Macaca fascicularis: one gene and its partners. The protein of the gene in region 2 purifies or fractionates together with the protein of the main gene of each other region. This does not show direct contact. Links are inferred from orthologs where the notes say so. Each region holds a gene or a part of one and is shown on either strand. Other genes may lie near its edges.

Region 1 (6,328 bases), on a different chromosome or scaffold from region 2:
ATTTGGTTATAGCCAGACTCTTGTTTACATCAGTCATCAGTGACTTAACGCAGCCCAGCCACATGGCTTAATATGGCAGCCTAAGATGAGAGTTCCTTTCTGGTATAAACTTTGGTTTTCCCTGGTGCTAATCACTTCCTTATCCCAGCCCCCCAGAATTTGCCCTTTTCTTAGTTTTCTATATACTTTTCACTATTTCATTCCCAAACTCTATGAAAAATGTACATGTGGCGGTTTTATAGTATGTCTGCAAATTACTGTATACTCCCCTAGTCTTAAATATGGTCTAGACTTAGTCATTGAATATGGTGGAATTGACAGTGTGAGTCTCCTGTAACTTATATTTTCTCTTTCGTATGATTTTCTTAATAACATAATAACATTTTCTTTTATTTAGCTTACTTTATTGTAAGAATATGGTAATACATATACAAAATATGCATTAATTGACTGTTTATCACTGAGGCTTCTGGTTAACACCAGGCTATTAGTAATTCTGGCTTTGGGGAGTCAAAAGTGATGTATAGATCTCTGACTGCATGGGGATCAGCACCCCTAGGCTCCACACTGTTCAGGGGTCAGCCGTACATGTCTCTCCTGAATCCACCAGTGTTTTTGTTTGCTTGCTCCTCCAGGAAGTCTCTCTTCCGGTCCCAGGTCTAGTTCTCTCTACACCTACTTTCTCATCTATTAGCGTTTCCCTTCACCTCCATCCTAGGAACTCTCTTGTCATCTCTGAGTCAAACGCCTCATTTCCTGGCTACCAGGTCTCACTCTCTGCTGGCATAGTGGCTTCCTAAGGAAGAATATAACGGAGGTACATTTTCGACCATTAGTGTACAAATATCCTCCTTCCATAGTCTTAGGACTGACAGGCTCTATAGGTTATTTTAGGTTGGAAATTATTTTCCCTCAAAAATGGAAGAAGCTGCTCCGTTGCTGGCCCCCGCGCACTGGACTGGAGGCTCCCGAAATCGCCCTGACTCCTGATCTGTCCACGTTTCCCCTCCAGTGAGCTTGTCTTTGAGAGAAAACAGTTTTCTCTACCAGCATTGTGAACGTTCCCAGTTGCCTTATCACGGCTCTCCTTATATTTCTTTTCTATCTGAGGGCACATGGCCTTCAGCTGCAAAGGTATTTTCTTTCATAACGTTCTTGCCTTCATTTTCTCTGTTCCCGAGCTCCTATTTAATGTTAGACCTCTTGGATAAATCCTTAACTTGAAAACAAGACAAAAAACCCAAACTTTCCTCCACTAACTTTGGTATCTTTGAGTTTTGTCGTACTTCTCAAGACAGTTTCTCAGTGCTGCCTTCAAACACTTCTGACTTTTAAAAAATCTCTGCTGCTGTCCTTCTCAGAACTGCCCCCTTCCTCCCTCCCCCTAGCACATGCCATCCGCCTCTTTCCTCAGCCAACCACAGTCATCTCTCTGGTCACCTTCAGATTCAACCCTTTACTACTTGAAATGCACAGCTGATCACTTCACCTGCATCTAAACTCCACCACATGGCGCATCAACAAGGTCTTGGAAGACATGCCAGCCCTGGCTCCTGCCCCAACCCCTGCCTTGTGGATCCCACTGAGGCACCGTCCTTTGCACCCTCCTGTCAGTTTCCCCAATCACATGCCTTTGGCTGTGCTACACCATTTGGAAAATCCTCCCCTCTAATTCTCACTCCTACTCATCCTATAATAAGCAGTTCAGGAATCACCTCTCCCAGTAGTCTTTTCTTTTCTTTTTTTTTTTTTTTTGAGACGGAGTCTGGCTTTGTTGCCCAGGCTGGAGTGCAGTGGCCGGATCTCAGCTCACTGCAAGCCCCGCCTCCCAGGTTCACGCCATTCTCCTGCCTCAGCCTCCCGAGTAGCTGGGAGTACAGGCGCCCGCCACCTCGCCCGGCTAATTTTTTTTGTATTTTTAGTAGAGACGGGGTTTCACCATGTTAGCCAGGATGGTCTCAATCTCCTGACCTCATGATCCGCCCGTCTCGGCCTCCCAAAGTGCTGGGATTACAGGCTTGAGCCACCGCGCCCGGCCCCAGTAGTCTTTTCTTAACACATCACCCCACAACATGATGGGTGAAGGTCCTTTCTCAGGCTCTCACAACAGCCTGCATCTGCCACCCTGCCTCTGCTTAGCTGTGTGGCTGCCTCTCGCACTGCTCTTTGGTTTTCTCCGTCTGTGATTTCCCACATATTCCCTAGGTCTTGCAGCACGCTTGGCACACAGGTGGGGTTTAAGCACTAGAGATGTTTATAGTGAAGCACGTTCAAGATATATGAGAGGCACATTTAAACTCAGTTTTTATAAAAAAAATTTTTTTTGACTCAGTTTTGTTTTGGGGAATGCAAGAAAAAGTATTTCTTTTCTTTAAAGGCCACCATGCAAAATAATAAATAATTAAATTAACTCCAGTTTCACAATTGGGCTGGAAGAAGTTGAGGTCCTAGAGATTCTGGGATTTTCTAACAGTTACCTCTAGAGAAAGAGAAATGACTGAGATCCACACAAATTAATGGTCCCTCTCCCAGGACACCAAAAACCTGAACTTATTCCCATCGTCCCCATTATACACATATAATTAGTGCCCCTTGGAATTTCCAAGCTGAAAAAATAAGAAGTCTACCATCTTCATCTAACAGCTGAGAAAACTGATGCCCAGAAAAGTGCTGTGCCTGAGGCCACAGGGAATGTTAGTCAAAATGCCCATCACACATTTATAACACATGCAGGTGCAGCTCAGTGAATGCAGCTCAGTGAATGCAGCTCAGTGAACATAGTTACATCTACATAAGAAAGAAGCATCTTCAGATACAGTCGTCCTTCCTCCAGGCACAATCTCACCCTTTTCCAGGTGGCCAGCAGTTGCTTATCAGACATCTGCTCTGGATAATCCGCAATTGCAAACACACATCCCAATAAGAAGCCTTCTTCTGGAACTAGAGTAAAATTATACAAGAAAAAGAAAATTAAAACCCTATGAATATGCTTGCACAAAAGTTAAACAGTGGTGCCTTGCAACGTGATTCTGTTATGTTAATCAGTCTTGACCATGACATATCTACCAGTAATCAGAGTGCATGGGGAATATTGCTACAAAGATACTAGTTATCTGTCTACATCAAATAATCATTAAAAACTGAAACCAACGTAACTCATGCCTGGCCATTAAATACCCTGAAGGAGTCCCTGTGGCAGCCTAGGTGTTCTACGGGACACCAATATTCACTTCAGCATATGATGTCCCAAAGTACAAAAGAAAGCATAATTATCCCATGGTAACGATATTCTTTGTTAGGTATGAGACTCACACTCTCCATGTTGTAATAATTGTGTTGACATGAATCCTTACCCCACACTCAAACACTCTCAAAGCATTTATGTGAGTACAAGACTTTTAGGAGAGAGGGAAAAAAAAAAAATCTCCATTACTAACTCTCCACTGCTGGATCATGTCCAAAAAGCTGATGATGCTGAGGTGGTGGTGGTGGTGGCTGCTGTTGCTGCTGCTGCTGCGGGGGCTGCTGAGGTGGAACCTGATGCTGCAGCGCCTGTGACGTCTGACTCAAGTGTGGCGCCGTCTGGCTTTGCATCTGCTGCTGCTGGTGCATGCGCTGGAGCTGCTGCTGCTGGAGCTGCTGCTGCTGAATCTGCTGTTGCTGCTGCTGCTGCTGCTGGAGCAGGCTGTGTTGCTGCTGGAGCTGGGCGAGCTGCTGCTGCTGGAGCTGGTGCTGCTGCAGCTGATGGAACTGCTGCTGCAAGGCATGCTGCTGCTGAAAGGGCTGGAGCTGCTGCTGAGGGCGATGCAGCTGCTGTGGAGGATGCAACTGTTGCTGTGGAAACTGTAGCTGCTGCTGTGAAAACTGATGCGGATGGGCTTGCTGCTGCTGCTGCTGTTGCTGTGAAAACGGATGTGGTGGCTGCTGGGGGTAAGGTTGCTGAGAAATCTGCTGCTGCTGCTGCTGCTGCTGCTGGAGCTGCATTATCTGCTGGGGCTGAAGGTGTAAAACCGGGTGCTGTTGCTGCTGCTGCTGCTGGGCCTGCTGCTGCTGCTGTAGCATGTGTGTCTCTGGAGTCACTTTCACTTGGCTAAACAGCACTGCATTGGCATTTGTATGTCCCTGCTGGCTGTGATTCACCTGCTGTTCTAAATTTTTCGTAGGTGCTGAAAGCGTCTGTAAGATCTACAAAACAAGTTGGGTGAAACATTATCAGTCGTTCCTGAAACAGACGGATGATAATTTCTTAGTCATGAGAATAATAGCATCCTATTTATTAACAATATTCAACCAAGCAGACACAGCAAATGACTGGAAACTTCAAAATAATACTGCATTTTCTTTTGTATTTATTTTGTAACACCAATATCATAAAGTACATTCACATATTGAGACCACCAAAATTTGAAACTACGTTAGTAAAATGGAGTAAACTAACGAATTAAAGTGACAAAGACTCAGACGGCTGATGTGCTTGCCAGAGCAAGGCGTGTGAGTCCTGTGCACAAGTGGAGGCTAAGCCTCGGTGCTCCCTGCACTGTCCGCAGCGCCTCTCCACTGCCCATCGCCCACATCAGCTCCGCAGACCCTCTCCTGGCCCAGGAATGCACTGAGGAATGACAGGTGGTGAAAGCATCTGGTAATCAGGTTCAGCTTCACCTCAAACCTTCTCGCCACAGCTGCCACTTCCCATTTCCTCTTGTCTTACAGCCCAGAGTCTAGTAAAGAAAGGTTCTCAGTGAATCACCTTCCTGATGAAAGCAGCATGACCTAAGCTGTGACTCCAAGAGCCCTTCGCTCCACTGTCAACTTGCTATGTACACTGGCATTCTTCAGAAAAGGAGGCCAGCTAAGACACCACCAGAGCTGTTTCAATGGTGATGTTTCTCCCAACTAAGAACTCATCATTAGAGTTGGGAAATGATGCTTCCTCAAAAATGACTGAGTTCTTCATGTGGGACAAAAATATTTCAAGCTAGAAAAAAAGAATTCAAACCAGACTCTTTGTTTTCTAGCTCTTTCTGCTTCACAATGACAGGGAATAGGCTGAGAGTTCTGCGTACACTGAGGAGTAGGAGAAGGACGGTGACCAGCAGATGCCCACCAAGAAGAGCAAGTTATTTTTTTAATATCCTGTAGTGTACTGAATACAACAAAAGATACATGTTATACAATGAATTTTGTTCCACATGCTCAAGCAACAAAAATTTGAAACCAACTTCTTATGGTCATGGAAATCAGTAAAAATAGATTTTACTAAACTCAATCCATATAACTTTTAACCCTAATAAAAGCATTTAAAATGTAAACAAAATTCTAGGAATTTGATTTTAACACATATCAGAACTATAACAAAATCTCAAACATATTCTAACATGTATCTTTCACTTAAACAGACTCCAAATTGCAAAGGTTATATGACCTGCAAGGGTAACAGATTTTGGGTTTAGTGATAAATAATTGTGTTTAGAATTGAAATAAGTCAAAATCAAGAGCTTAGGTACAACCATCTTTAGAATCACCTTATGTATGAAACATCTCTATGAGATTCAAGACTTCAGAAACACCTGAGTGGAACTCTAAGCAGAAAAATGTCTTTTAAACAAAATAATAAGACAACTGTTTCATCTCCATATTTAAAAGTATTTTTAAAAATCCAGAAAAGAAGAGGGGAAAATTCACCCCATCACATGCCATCCCCCGGAGCCCAGCAGCATTTGGTGCTGTGCGAACACCCCCTAGAGAAGCATGCATGTGTGGGGCACCTGCTTGCCTGGTGGGCACCAGCCATGAGCCCTACACGGCAAACTGCTGGAAATAGCAGCTGCCTCTTGAGAAGGTAAACAGCAATGAGGGGTGGGAGGGGGCGGACAGTTTAACTGTTCACTCTGTCCTTTGGTATCATTTGAATTTTTGAATTTTGTACACATATTACTTTTTTACCCTCATATGTAAACAGCCCATGGAACTCTGAGGGATAGTAAAGAAATAAATGCCCATCTGCAGGTGGACAGGGCTGAACCAGTCATTCACCACATGCTGCTCCCCGCGCCTCTACACCTGCCAACTCCAGGAGAAAGGGAGCTCAGGACCTAGACAAACACAGCAGCAGACATCAGGACAGAACAGAGGCCAGAGGCTCCTGTTTTTCAGATTGGCCACGAGGACTCAGCAGGGTCTGCTGCCTGCAGAAAGTGCTCCATCTGATCTCAGAGGGCTGAGGGAGGCCTGGGTGGGACAGGAGCTGTTTCTACTACAGGCTTCAGTTAAGATGGGTCCTCGTCCACTGCTAACCCAGCCCATTAAGGGAGAAGAACAGATGGAGATT
Region 2 (5,501 bases):
ATTAGCTTTTTTCTCTAAAAACGTGTGTATTAGGATGTAAACTTGTTTCATTATTAAGGCACCTAGAGTGTGCCTTAATGGGACTTGCCTATACAAATAGTAAAAAGAAAAAAAGATTATTCTGTCTTCTAAAATCTTAAAAATGCAATTATAAAGGATGTTCAATTGAAGATAAAAAAGCAGTTTGTGATTTCAATTATCTAATTGTATTTCAGAGTAATGTTGATGTGTTTGATTTTTACTCCCAATCCTCTACCCAAGACTAGGTTCCTGAATAAGTATTATTCTTGACATAGAATCCAAATATGAATTATACTAAATTTCTCTTAAATGTCAGATAATTTATCTAAATGTCAGATAACTTATTCTCTTAAATGTCAGATAAATTAATCTTGGCAATAAACTATCTTAAAATCATAGAAAATAAGACAGTGTCAGTAAGATAAACTAGAACAGGTTAAGAAACATTTAGGTAGTGGTTCAGCATTCTTATAATCTTTGCTTCTTGATGGTTGGCTTGCAATTTTCGTTTGCAAAAATGTTCGTCTTGAGTTATTCTCAATAACCTTTGGATAGGAGATTTTACAAGAAAACCACTTAAAAATATTAGTGATTAAATGTCCTGAATAGCATTTAGACAAGCATTCTTGCTCCATAATTAAAATAGATTTGGAATTCTTTCCTTCTGAAATTATAATTAAGAGATGATTACTTCTAGTAGATAGCCAATATTTACCAAATTATTAACTAGTCGAAAAAAGTATCTCCATGCTTTCAACCTTCAAACTGTTTCTAAGAGGACAACATACTCTAAATCTGAAAGAGTATGTGATTAATGCAATCAGCAGGGCATTTCACTAGAAATAGAATAAGCTCTCTTTAGCCATATCTATATAATCTTGATTTACAGCATTCTCTATTCTCTATGCTTCTTCACTAATGCTTCCTGGAAAATTCATACAAAGAACAATATGATTAAATGAGAGTATGTGTCAAATGCTTCAGAAAATGGAGGTACAAATGCAAGGTGCTGTTATTACAAAATGAAATACTATCATTAATTAGCAGTGACTTGTGAACGCTAATATAGATTGCTATATTTTACTAGTGATGGGGAATTTGCAGCACTCCTCCCCCAAATCATGTCATGCAAGCAAAAAAGCATGAGATTTCAAAATTGCCTAACATTAAAAAATAAGTCTCTTAATTTATTTTCATTCTAAAATAGAGCCCTTCATCCTGAATCCCCTTTTCCATATAAAATGTTACTAAGTCATGTACAGGATTTGTCAAGCCCATATAACATTCCTTTTAAAATCTTAAGTTCAATCACTATTTGTTTTCTACTATTATACTACATTTTGGCAGCAATTGTTTATTGGTCTGTCATTGCAGTAATTGCAACTTAACAATAAACCAGTCTGACATTTTAGGTCTTGAGGATACATACCATATATATTTCTTTAAAAATAATCATACTTTTTGTAAGCAATACTTTACAGTAGACACCTCAAAAATCTACCATAGATGTGAAACTTAAAACGAGAAAAATTTAAGTTCTAAATATTTATACATATATATCCAGATTTCTATATATATTATATATACATACATAAGTATATATAAAATATATATAATCAGATTTCAAAAATGAACAAAAACTGGGCACTGTACATAAAGTCTTTTTAAAACTCAAACAATAGAAAACTCTTTAAACATTAAACAATTTTAATAAAAGTTTCTGTACAATGCTAAGCAGTTTTATTTACACATAGAAAATGTAATAGGAGTAGTGTTTGAAATTACAGAACTCCTTAAAATTTCAATGGCAGGTAAATCTGGAAAAAATAACAGCATTCCATTCACAAATATTTTCAAGCAATAAATATGTATTTATAAATAGTGTAAATTTACATCAAGATTAGAAACAAAAATCACAAATCTGAAGTTTATTCCTTAGTCTATGTGCAATCCATTACCTTTGTGACTTGGCTGTTAATTTTTTTAATGTTTTATTTAGGAACCAAAAGTGTAACCATTATGGTCTCAAAACAAGACAGAAAAACATAAAAGCAGTAAAAAAGTGTCTTACCTAACTTTTCACATTAAAAAAAAGTTGACCAAAGAAAGACTTAAAATTGCTAACTACCTTACAAAGAAATGACCAGCTAGGCTAGTATTTTTTTTCCAAGGAAAATTCTGAAGGGGGAAAAGACAGATGAAAACAAATTCATCAGCCCAGAAATAGAGAAATATAAAAGAGGTTGTCTTCAAGTCAGTAGTCTGTAAGATGTTGCCAGTTTTGTCAGATATATACAAAACATGGAAATTATTATTTTTTTGTGAAGTACAGCTGATGAGCTTTGTGAGAGTCCTGGAGTAGGAACAGTACTCTCTCCCGTCCAGCTGGTTGACACTCCGCACTTGGAAGGTTGCATAGACACAGTTTTCAGCCAGCAGCCTTACGAGATAGCTACAAAAACCAGTGGTGCAGAAGTGGGTTATTTCCTGAATAGCAGAAAAGGTCTCATTTAATGTCCATGGAACAATATCAAGATGAGGCGGATGGTAATGGAGGAGCCTGAAAATAAAAGTAAGGTAGGTTATTTTGATATACAAATTGTTAATAGCTCATGGCTACAAACATATAGTCTGCTTATGAAGTCAGGGGAAATAACTCTCAAAAAGTTCACCAGCCTGCTACACAACATAAAAGTACAACCTACCTTACTATCTCCCATTCAGCCAATTTTCCTAAGAGTCTAAGACCATTATCCTACTCAGCGTACTTGCAATTTTCTATATTTCTTCACCAATTAGTCAAAAACTCTTGGAATGTTATTAAGTTTACCGTTTCTTAAGATTGCTTAAAAAAAGGGGGGCTTCTTGAAAAATAATTTAACAAGTTACAATTTCACTAGTGACTGTCTTCAGAATCTATCTCAGCTAGGTAATATATTTTCTTCAACATAGTCCAGATAATTTTCTTCTTCAAGCAATCTTGAAGACTATTCAAGTGAAAATATCAGAAACTAAATTTCAAAAAGTTAGTTTCTGATCACATATGTGTGGGAGACAAGTACTGGAGAAAATCAACAATTCATAAATTATCTCTGTTTCTATTCATAAAGCTATTGATCTGCTAAAGTAAAATGCTTCCCCCAAGCATCTGCTGTCTGAAATTAAAAACTGTGTGCAATTTATAAGTATACTTGAATTTCATAAGGTTATATAACATACCAGGAAGTTAAGCTCCATTAAATATTCCCATGAGGTTAATACTTCTGGCAAGGACAAAATTTTAAACAAATACAATTAGCTCTAAAAGCAGAAGTATATTTAAAAGCACATTTACTGATTCATTTTGTGGGCTCTAATAACCTACGTACACAAACATTTTATCAACTTATCAACTGAGATAAAATGACATAAAGGATATGATAGTGTTCCATCTAAAGCACGTGAAGATTTTTAAATGTAATTGTTGTAAAATTATTTAGGCTGGTCTTACCCAGGAAGAAAACTGAAAATGATATATGCCAATTTTATAGGAATAAATACTTGGAAATGGAGGGGGGAATGATATGAATACACCCTCATGCAATATGTAATGAGCCAAAGGGAAATTTAAAATATTTCATTACCTCCTACTTATCAGGTGGCAGAACAAACACTGCTGCTTCATAACCCAGCTAACTATGTACTCACATGTTGATTTGACTTACTAATGTAAATTGGTCATAGACTTGCATCAGGTCCTCCATTTTGTACTGTTCTAGCACCACAAAGTTTTCCAGGTTTCCGCTTGTTTTTCGTGCACAATCTTGGCAATGTACTATGTAGGTCTTTCGTGAATTACTCTCATTAGTGACAAAAAGCAAATCAAAAACCTCCACCTGTTTTATACAAGAGAAAAACGTATTCAATAGAGATGGTGGTATTCACTGTACTGCTTTAGTATAATCATGGAATTCTACTTGAATGAAATTGTGGACAGTGATCTCTGGTTAAGAGTAGGTGGTAAGAAAAACATGGCTGTGTTTGAGACTCTTTAACAGACCAGGTTTATTTTGCACCAAATCCAAAGACATGGGTAGTAATGCATAGTTAGGGGAATAATCAAAGGGAATGACATACTCATGTCATTGAACCCAGTTCAAAAGTTTGATAAAGGTCAACCTATTTTTAAATCTAAAACATTAGCATACAATCAGATGTAAGTGATCATTTTTATGTATTCATGAGTACAGCATGATTTTAGAAATAATACCTCTGTCTTATACAGAAAGATTGATGAGTTGCTAGGGTTCAGGTAGGATAAGGAACATCGCATCTAACTGGAATCTATCTGATCTCCTAATGACTTACTTTGGTCAGGTCATACAACATTAAAAAAAAAAAATCAATGGATTCAATCATTTCAAATACAGGTTGATGTTAGAATTACAGAATTTCAAGGTTTGAAATGAACCATCAACAACCTGTCTTTGGCTTATCCTTAAATTTCTTCAATGACAGAAAACTCTTACGATCTCATGTCTTCTTTTAACAGTAAACGACAATCCTAGAGTTCACCATGTTATCCATTACTGTCAACAGGCAGCAATACAAACCTAGTGACCTGAGCTAGAAAATTGGTGAGCATTCAACTTGTCCTTCTACTTCTGCCATTTAATGAGGTGTCTCACTGATTTTACCCTCTAAATATTTTTTAATTCTTTCCCTTCTTTAATATTCCCATTGCCAGGTTCTAGTCTAGGCCTTAAAATAACAACTCTTAAGACCACTGCAATAGCTTATATATCACTGTCCTTTCCAACCACTTTTCTCCCTGAAACACATATCTCACCCTTAGCTGCTTGCTCAAAACCTTTTAATGGCTTCAGTGACCTTGGATTATCAAATTCCTTAAAACCATTCAAGATGTGCTACAAATTACATGCCACCTAGACTTACGAGTGGAATTTGCACAGTCTGTGTTCCAGCCAAATTGGAACACATTCAACCTTTTCTAAAACCTTTCCATTTCCCCGTTCTCTTCTTGTTCCTATAGCCCATGACAGTCTACTTCCGATTCTCATCACTTTTTTAGCCTACTGATATCATACTCTTTTTTCAAGGACGGACTCAAATGCTAATACTTTTGTGAATTCTTATGCCAATACTAGAAGAAAAAAATCAGGTCATTTTCCCCCTCAGTGTTATCATTAAGTCCAACTTCACATTCATCATAGTCTCATGTACATTACAATTAGTTGTTTATAATCTCTCTGCTCCAAGTAGAATTTAAGCTCCTTCATAGCAGGCGCCACATCTTTGTTCCTACACCTCTTGCAAGCCTTGGCCACACAATATTGACAAATATATTGTGAATTGCACCAGAGAGGACTGATAATCGATCTGCCTAGAGTTATACCAAACATTCAGTTTATTGGCATTTGTGTACATCTAGATTGTTCCCAGTTTAAAATCTCAGACTAAATTTGCTGATTATCATTTGT
Region 3 (6,328 bases), on a different chromosome or scaffold from region 2:
AAGCCAAGCCCTGAAAAGGCCTTTAAGAGTAGTCCTATCAATACCTTAAAATAAAGGAATATTTTCAGGCTCCATTATTTCTAAATTTAACAGCAATACTTTGCTATAGACAACTATAGTAGCTGAACTTACTGTAATGAATTCTGTATCGAATCTTTGAGGGTTCTGAAAATTAGTTTCCAGTTATATTCTAAATAGTTTAGCGCATAGATGGCAACATTTTTATGTAAAGAGCCAGATGGTAAATACTGTAAGCCTTTGTAGGCCATATAGCCCCTGGCATAATTACTCAACTCTGTCCTTGTACTTCAAAAGCAGCTATAAACAATTCATACAAAAATGAGCTTGGCTGTGTTCAAATAAAACTTTTAAAATTCACGGACACGTCTGAATTTTGTGTAATTTTTATGTGTCACAAAATACTACTCTTCCTTAGATTTTTTTTCAACCATTTAAAAATGTAAAAGCCATTCTTAGCTCATGGAGGGAGACGAAAGCAGGCTCAGACTACTCATCTCCAGGCTAGTTCTGTGGCTCTCAAGGGGAGTCTCCAGGGCAGAAGCAGCATCTAGAACTGGTTTAGAAATGCAGATTATCGGGTCCCACCCACACCAACAGAATCAGAAATGCTGGGGCCCAGCAATCTTGGTTTAACAAGCCCTGATAGTGATCCTCACACTTTAGCTTTGAGAATCACCGGCCTACAGCAATACTTCTCCACCTTCAGATGCACAGGAGTCACCTGGGGATCTTGCTAAGTCTCACGTTCTGAGAAGCAGGTCTGTGGTGGGAGACTCTGCATGTTACAAAGCTCCCACCCGATGTGGATGCTGCGGATCCCCAAGGACTGCACTTTGAGGGGCAAGAACCTAAAAATTTCTTAATTATATATGTGTATATATAGACTTAAATAACTATATACATACATATATACTTATTTATTTAAATCACACTTTAATTAGGGGGGGCCTACATTTTTAAACTTGACATGTGGTTGTTCCCCATAGCATTACACATTCTTATACAGCACGAATTTTAATATAAACATGCTCAAAATGTAGTCTACATCCTTCAAGGAGCTATTTAAATAATGTTAAATGGTACAACAGAAACTGCTATGTGAGAACATGGGCATCAACACATATTTGAGATTGGAAGAGGTGAGAAAGGTATCTGGAAAAAGATGATTCAAGAACTGCGTTTTAAAAGATAAAAATATATTGGCCAGACATATATAAGAAAGGAGAACAGAAGAGGCAGAAGCAGCAGCATGTGGTATACATAGAAGGGTAAAAAGACAGAAGACTGCAAGTTATTCGATACTCCTCCGGGTATAAGATGTCTTAGAGAAAGCGGATGGAGACTGTGCTGGAGAGTTGGCTGTATTTACTGGTGACAAATAACTGTAAAAGCATAACCGCTAAAATTTACAATAATTACACAGGTCTACCAAGTCAACACTCAATCTTTACTGAATGGTCAAAGGCAAGAGAAAGAGCAACACTTGCAAAAAGATGAGCTTCATTAACAATCTTAAAACGAAAAAACTGGACAACTAAATATACACTCCACCCTTAATTAAAATATGAAAATAAAATCCAATTTGAGAAGCTCTCTAGGGACAGCTTTATGAATGCACTGGTAATGGCGCTGTACCTTCTGAAAGATACAAAAGGCAAGAGCTATTAAACAGACCAATTCCCATGACTCAGAAACTCCAGTTTTGGAAATATCTTAATGAAGTTAACTGAAATAAAGGGGAGGGATTCTTGTAAAGGTATATTTACGACTTAGCTCTTCATATAAAAGAAAGAAAAAGCAAATTCAATGTTAATAACTTAAAACTGATAGAAAATTGATACATGGAAAACTACAAAATAGCATCCACATGTAACATTACGTTAAGTATCAATGCAACACTGTAACACAACAGGTTCCCAGTGTGGTATCCCGAAGAGTGCCAAGGGTATTCATAGGAGTGCACGGGCTATCCTCCGTATTTTAAAGAGGTGAATGGAAATTAATCACTTATTTACAATAAAGTACATAGACATTTACTTACTTTGCTTTAGTCATATCAACCAGTTGCTACACATCACATTACATATGAAATGCAATACATGCCTTTGCCTTTTAAAAAACAGTAAACAAATTATTTAATATAGTTTAGATATAAGTAAAAACATGGGTTCCAGAGAGGTAGAAATGATAAAATAAGAAATGGTCCTTTAGAATAAAAAGGTTGTAGAATAATGTGGAAATATAGTTGTTGGTACTAATCTGCTGTAAGTATAATTTAAAACAAAAGAAAAAAGTTGTCATTTTTATCATTTACACTTACCAGTCCTTCAGCTGGGTTCTGCTTCTCAACTAGTTTATTATCCTTCGTACAGTCATCTTCTGAACAAATATTGCCCTCAGGTTTTTGATTTAAAAGAGAAGATGACTTTTTATTTTTCAATAAGTGTTTCAGAAGTTCATTCCCTGAGTCTCCTTTGGCAGCAGGGGCCCCAACAGAATGGGGAGGACTCTGTGCTGAGGAGACAGGACAGGCTACAGCATTTCCTTCTACCTTACTACCACTCTGTTCCTCCAATTTAGGCTCCTCTTGGCCCGGGCATGACTCTGTCTCAGGCTTTTCCAGTTTTATCTCTTCTGTTTTGGCAGGGGTTTCCATGGAGAGCTTATCTACTTCTGAATTTGCATAAGTCTGTTGATTTGGAGTTGCTTGAGAGAAATCACTATTGGGCAGTTTGTTCTCTACTTCTGTACATAGCTGGCCTGCTGCCATACTGGGAGTGGATGGGCCGACTCGTTCCACCGACTCTTGGTCGGCCTGTTGAGGAAGCTCACTGGGTGTGCTCACTGCAGGAGTAGAGGTAGTTTCTGAGATGCTTGGAGTCGGTGGAGCAGTTATATCTGAATGGGGAGTTGATGGAGCCTTGGTGGATTCTGCATCATCATCTCTTTTCTTTTTTCTTGTTCTTTTCTTTTTCCCTTTTTCCTCTGGGATTATATCAGAATACAACTGAATAAGCGATTGGGTTGATGCCGGATAACTGTGTCCATGGGTTATAGTAGAATCTTGGCCACATGGGAGACTGCTATTAGCTACTGGAGGTGCTGCTGGTAAAGCAGGTGTAAAAGAAGGCCTCACTGGAGACTGTTGGAAGCTGGTCCCAGAAAGACTTCCATGTCCCTGCTTAACAGAAGAAAAATTTGGGCTTCCAACAGGGATTGATGGTGAATCAGGAACAAATGAAGGAGGTCCTACCTGCCTTCGCTCATTAGTCTGCATGAAAGTTTGGGTGGAGGGTGAATTAATCGATCCTTGTTGTATATTCTGTTGCTGTAAAACCTGTCCCATTTGCTGTTGGTGTTGTGGAGACTGCTGAAGGGGTCTTGGAGGTTGCATAAAATCGCAAGGTAAGTCAGAACTGTAGAAGGGAATCTGGGACACAGATGTCCTACTACTACTTATCTCAGAGCCCACCATGCCATGCTGCTCCATTTCCATCCTCTGCTGCAAAGCTCTTTGTCTATCTACCTCTTGCATGAGTTGGATCCGTTGTCTCTCTTGCTGTTCTCGTAAACGTTCCTTACGTTCCCGTTCTTGAAAACTTTCACTAAAGGGATTGTTGTCATCAAATTCTACCCGAGGTGGTGGTCCACTCTGTGGATTTGCATTTGAGACTGTCCCTGGGGCTGGTGTACAAGTTTTTATTGGTAACTGGGCAACTGGGGGTTGAATTCTAGGAGGATTGAGGGGCAGGTGGGCAGGAGCACTGTTGGGCTGCCACCCAGGTAAATTAGGCATTCTAACAGGGCTAGTATGGCCAGAAATAACTGTTGTGTGCTGCTGGTGCTGGTGCTGAAGCTGCTGTGGCACCATGGGAAAGGAGGGTTGGCTCATGGTGGGTGGAGTGGCACCTGGAATTAGGGGTGGCTGGGGCTGGACACTGGGCATCATGGTAGGTGGGGCCATCGCACATTGCTGCTGCTGTTGCTGCTGTTTGATCCGATAATCTTCAATCAATTCAGCGTGTTCTTTCTGTTGTTTACGAATCTGGAATAACAAAATGCCTCATTACTCATTTATATACAGCAAAGGTATTGAAGTAAAACACTGGCTGATGACTTTGGTTGAGGTTATACAGAGGGCAGTTTGGCCCCGTAGAAGCAAACATATTTTGCTTGGGTAACTGCAAAAGTCACAAAAAAGTTGAACTGATGAGGCTTAACTAATGACTATCAATCTTTCTTTAACAACAGGATTTTTATAAAGTTATCTGTAAAAGCGCTTCACATATGAAATATCAAAAACGGTTTTGTAAAATAAGTATTAAAATCTTGTGAAACTCATATATACTATTTATACTATACATCAAAAATACACAATAAAAAAAAGTTACACAAGCAGCTAATTTTGATGTTCTAGAAATTACATTAATACACAATGTTAGAATAACAGACTTAACTCAAACTTGAATCATTTAAATATGTTAAGATTTCATTTCTTAAATATATAAATTGTACAACATTTTAAGACAAGATGAATTACCAGCATGAGTATCACACCATCCGCCCAGATGAAAAAGACTAAGTTTATAGAACACTTTCAATTTAATGGCTAACACTCAAATTGTAATTTTTGAAATCTACACAAGCTCTGAGGTAGTATTTTGAATAGTCTATAGTCTTTTTTTTTTTTTTTGAGACAGAATCTCGCTCTGTTGCACAGGCTGGAATGCGGTGGCCGGATCTCAGCTCACTGCAAAGCTCCACCTCCCAGGTCCATGCCATTCTCCTGCCTCAGCCTCCCGAGTAGCTAGGACTACAGGCACCCACCACCATGCCTGGCTAATTTTTTGTATTTTTAGTAGAGACGGGGTTTCACCATGTTAGCCAAGATGCTCTTGATCTCCTGACCTCGTGATCTGCCCACCTCGGCCTCCCAAAGTGCTGGGATTACAGGCGCGGGCCACCGCGCCCGGCAACAGTCCCTTAATATAACAGCTGAGTAATATCAATTAATTCATTCCAAAAACCTTTGTGTCCCAATGTGCTCAATACTACAGACCAAGTATCAACCAAAATGGAATCTATGTTCCAGAGGACCTCACCATCTCATTCAGCAAGCTAGAGAAAGAAGGAATGCAAAATGATGTGTATATCTTTCAACATCATTCAATTTTTAGACAAATATGCTAATATGCTAAACCCAGGAGTTCTAATCATTTTTCAAAGTATTTTCTTGGGTTCCCCAGGTAAACCAGTATTTTCTGCAAATAATGATGTTTGATCTCTTCTTCAACAGTTGTGTAACACCTATTTTATTTTCTTATTTTTCCTGGCCAGTTTACTGGTTAGAACTGAGAAATTACCATTGGTTGGTGAAGTAGTAAGGAAGTACAGAAAGCACCTATAACAGCATCTGGGATATATAAGGTGGTCATCCATGTCTTTCCCATGATATTTTATAATACTTTTTAAAACATTACCATCAACTGCTTATCTTAATATGATTACACTGGATCTTTGGCAACTATGTAATAGATGATGTATCCCATTTTTCAAGTATTAGCTTCTAAATAGGATTTGATCTATGGATATGCAAAAATTAGGCCCTTATCAAAAGACCTTGTACAAATATGCCAGAAGGCAATAAAAGTGACAAAAAACAAAAACTTTATTAAACATATCTTTACAAGAATATTAACCTACAGTAAACATGAACCCAGAGAGTAGATTTAAAGAGAAAAGAAAACTTTCATTCTGGAATAATCTTAGTTTTAAACAATTGGAATTATAATCACCTTATTGTTGGTACGTTATTGTGGTAGCTGCGGTTTGAAGATAAGACACTTGAGTCCAAATCCCTAATCTAATAGTTATGAGCAAACATGTACAGTGGGGGTATTTTTTGGGATTTTTTTTTTTTTTTGAGACAGAGTTTCGCTCTTGTTGCCCAGGCTGGAGTGCAATGGCGCAATCTCGGCTCACTACAGCCTCCACCTCAAGGGTTCAAGCAATTCTCCTGCCCCAACCTCCCAAGCAGCTGGGATTACAGGTGCCTGCCACCATGCCTGGATAATTTTTTGCATTTTTAGTAGAGATGGGTTTCGCCATGGTGGCCAGGCTGGTCTCAAACTCCTGGCCTCAGGTGATCCGTCCACCTCGGCTTCCCAAAGTGCTGGGATGACAGGCGTGAGCCACCACACCCGGCCACATGTACACAGTGTTTATAACCCCTACAATGAATCAGTTTATAAAATGGTTTGTAAAATCAGTTTGTAAAAAAATGGTGATAATACTAACTCCTTCAGAA

What was found. Proteins that work in one complex are often made in the same cells at the same time.
Region 1: the proteins of KDM6A (region 2) and PAXIP1 purify together in Homo sapiens (affinity purification with mass spectrometry; 6 studies listed by BioGRID and IntAct, with this or other methods). This does not show direct contact. The link is inferred for Macaca fascicularis from reciprocal best matches to the Homo sapiens genes KDM6A and PAXIP1.
Region 3: the proteins of KDM6A (region 2) and KMT2C purify together in Homo sapiens (affinity purification with mass spectrometry; 3 studies listed by BioGRID and IntAct, with this or other methods). This does not show direct contact. The link is inferred for Macaca fascicularis from reciprocal best matches to the Homo sapiens genes KDM6A and KMT2C.

What each region holds. Positions count from the first base shown.
Region 1 is NC_088377.1:196,266,982-196,273,309, forward strand, and holds part of PAXIP1 (PAX-interacting protein 1), read right to left. Parts: intron 4,186-6,328; coding exon 3,438-4,185; intron 2,941-3,437; coding exon 2,846-2,940; intron 1-2,845.
Region 2 is NC_088395.1:45,164,578-45,170,078, reverse strand, and holds the end of KDM6A (lysine-specific demethylase 6A), read right to left. Parts: intron 3,897-5,501; coding exon 3,726-3,896; intron 2,582-3,725; coding exon 2,552-2,581; 3' UTR 1,711-2,551; downstream 1-1,710. UniProt on the Homo sapiens protein: Histone demethylase that specifically demethylates 'Lys-27' of histone H3, thereby playing a central role in histone code. Demethylates trimethylated and dimethylated but not monomethylated H3 'Lys-27'.
Region 3 is NC_088377.1:193,418,135-193,424,462, forward strand, and holds part of KMT2C (histone-lysine N-methyltransferase 2C), read right to left. Parts: intron 4,067-6,328; coding exon 2,342-4,066; intron 1-2,341. UniProt on the Homo sapiens protein: Histone methyltransferase that catalyzes methyl group transfer from S-adenosyl-L-methionine to the epsilon-amino group of 'Lys-4' of histone H3 (H3K4).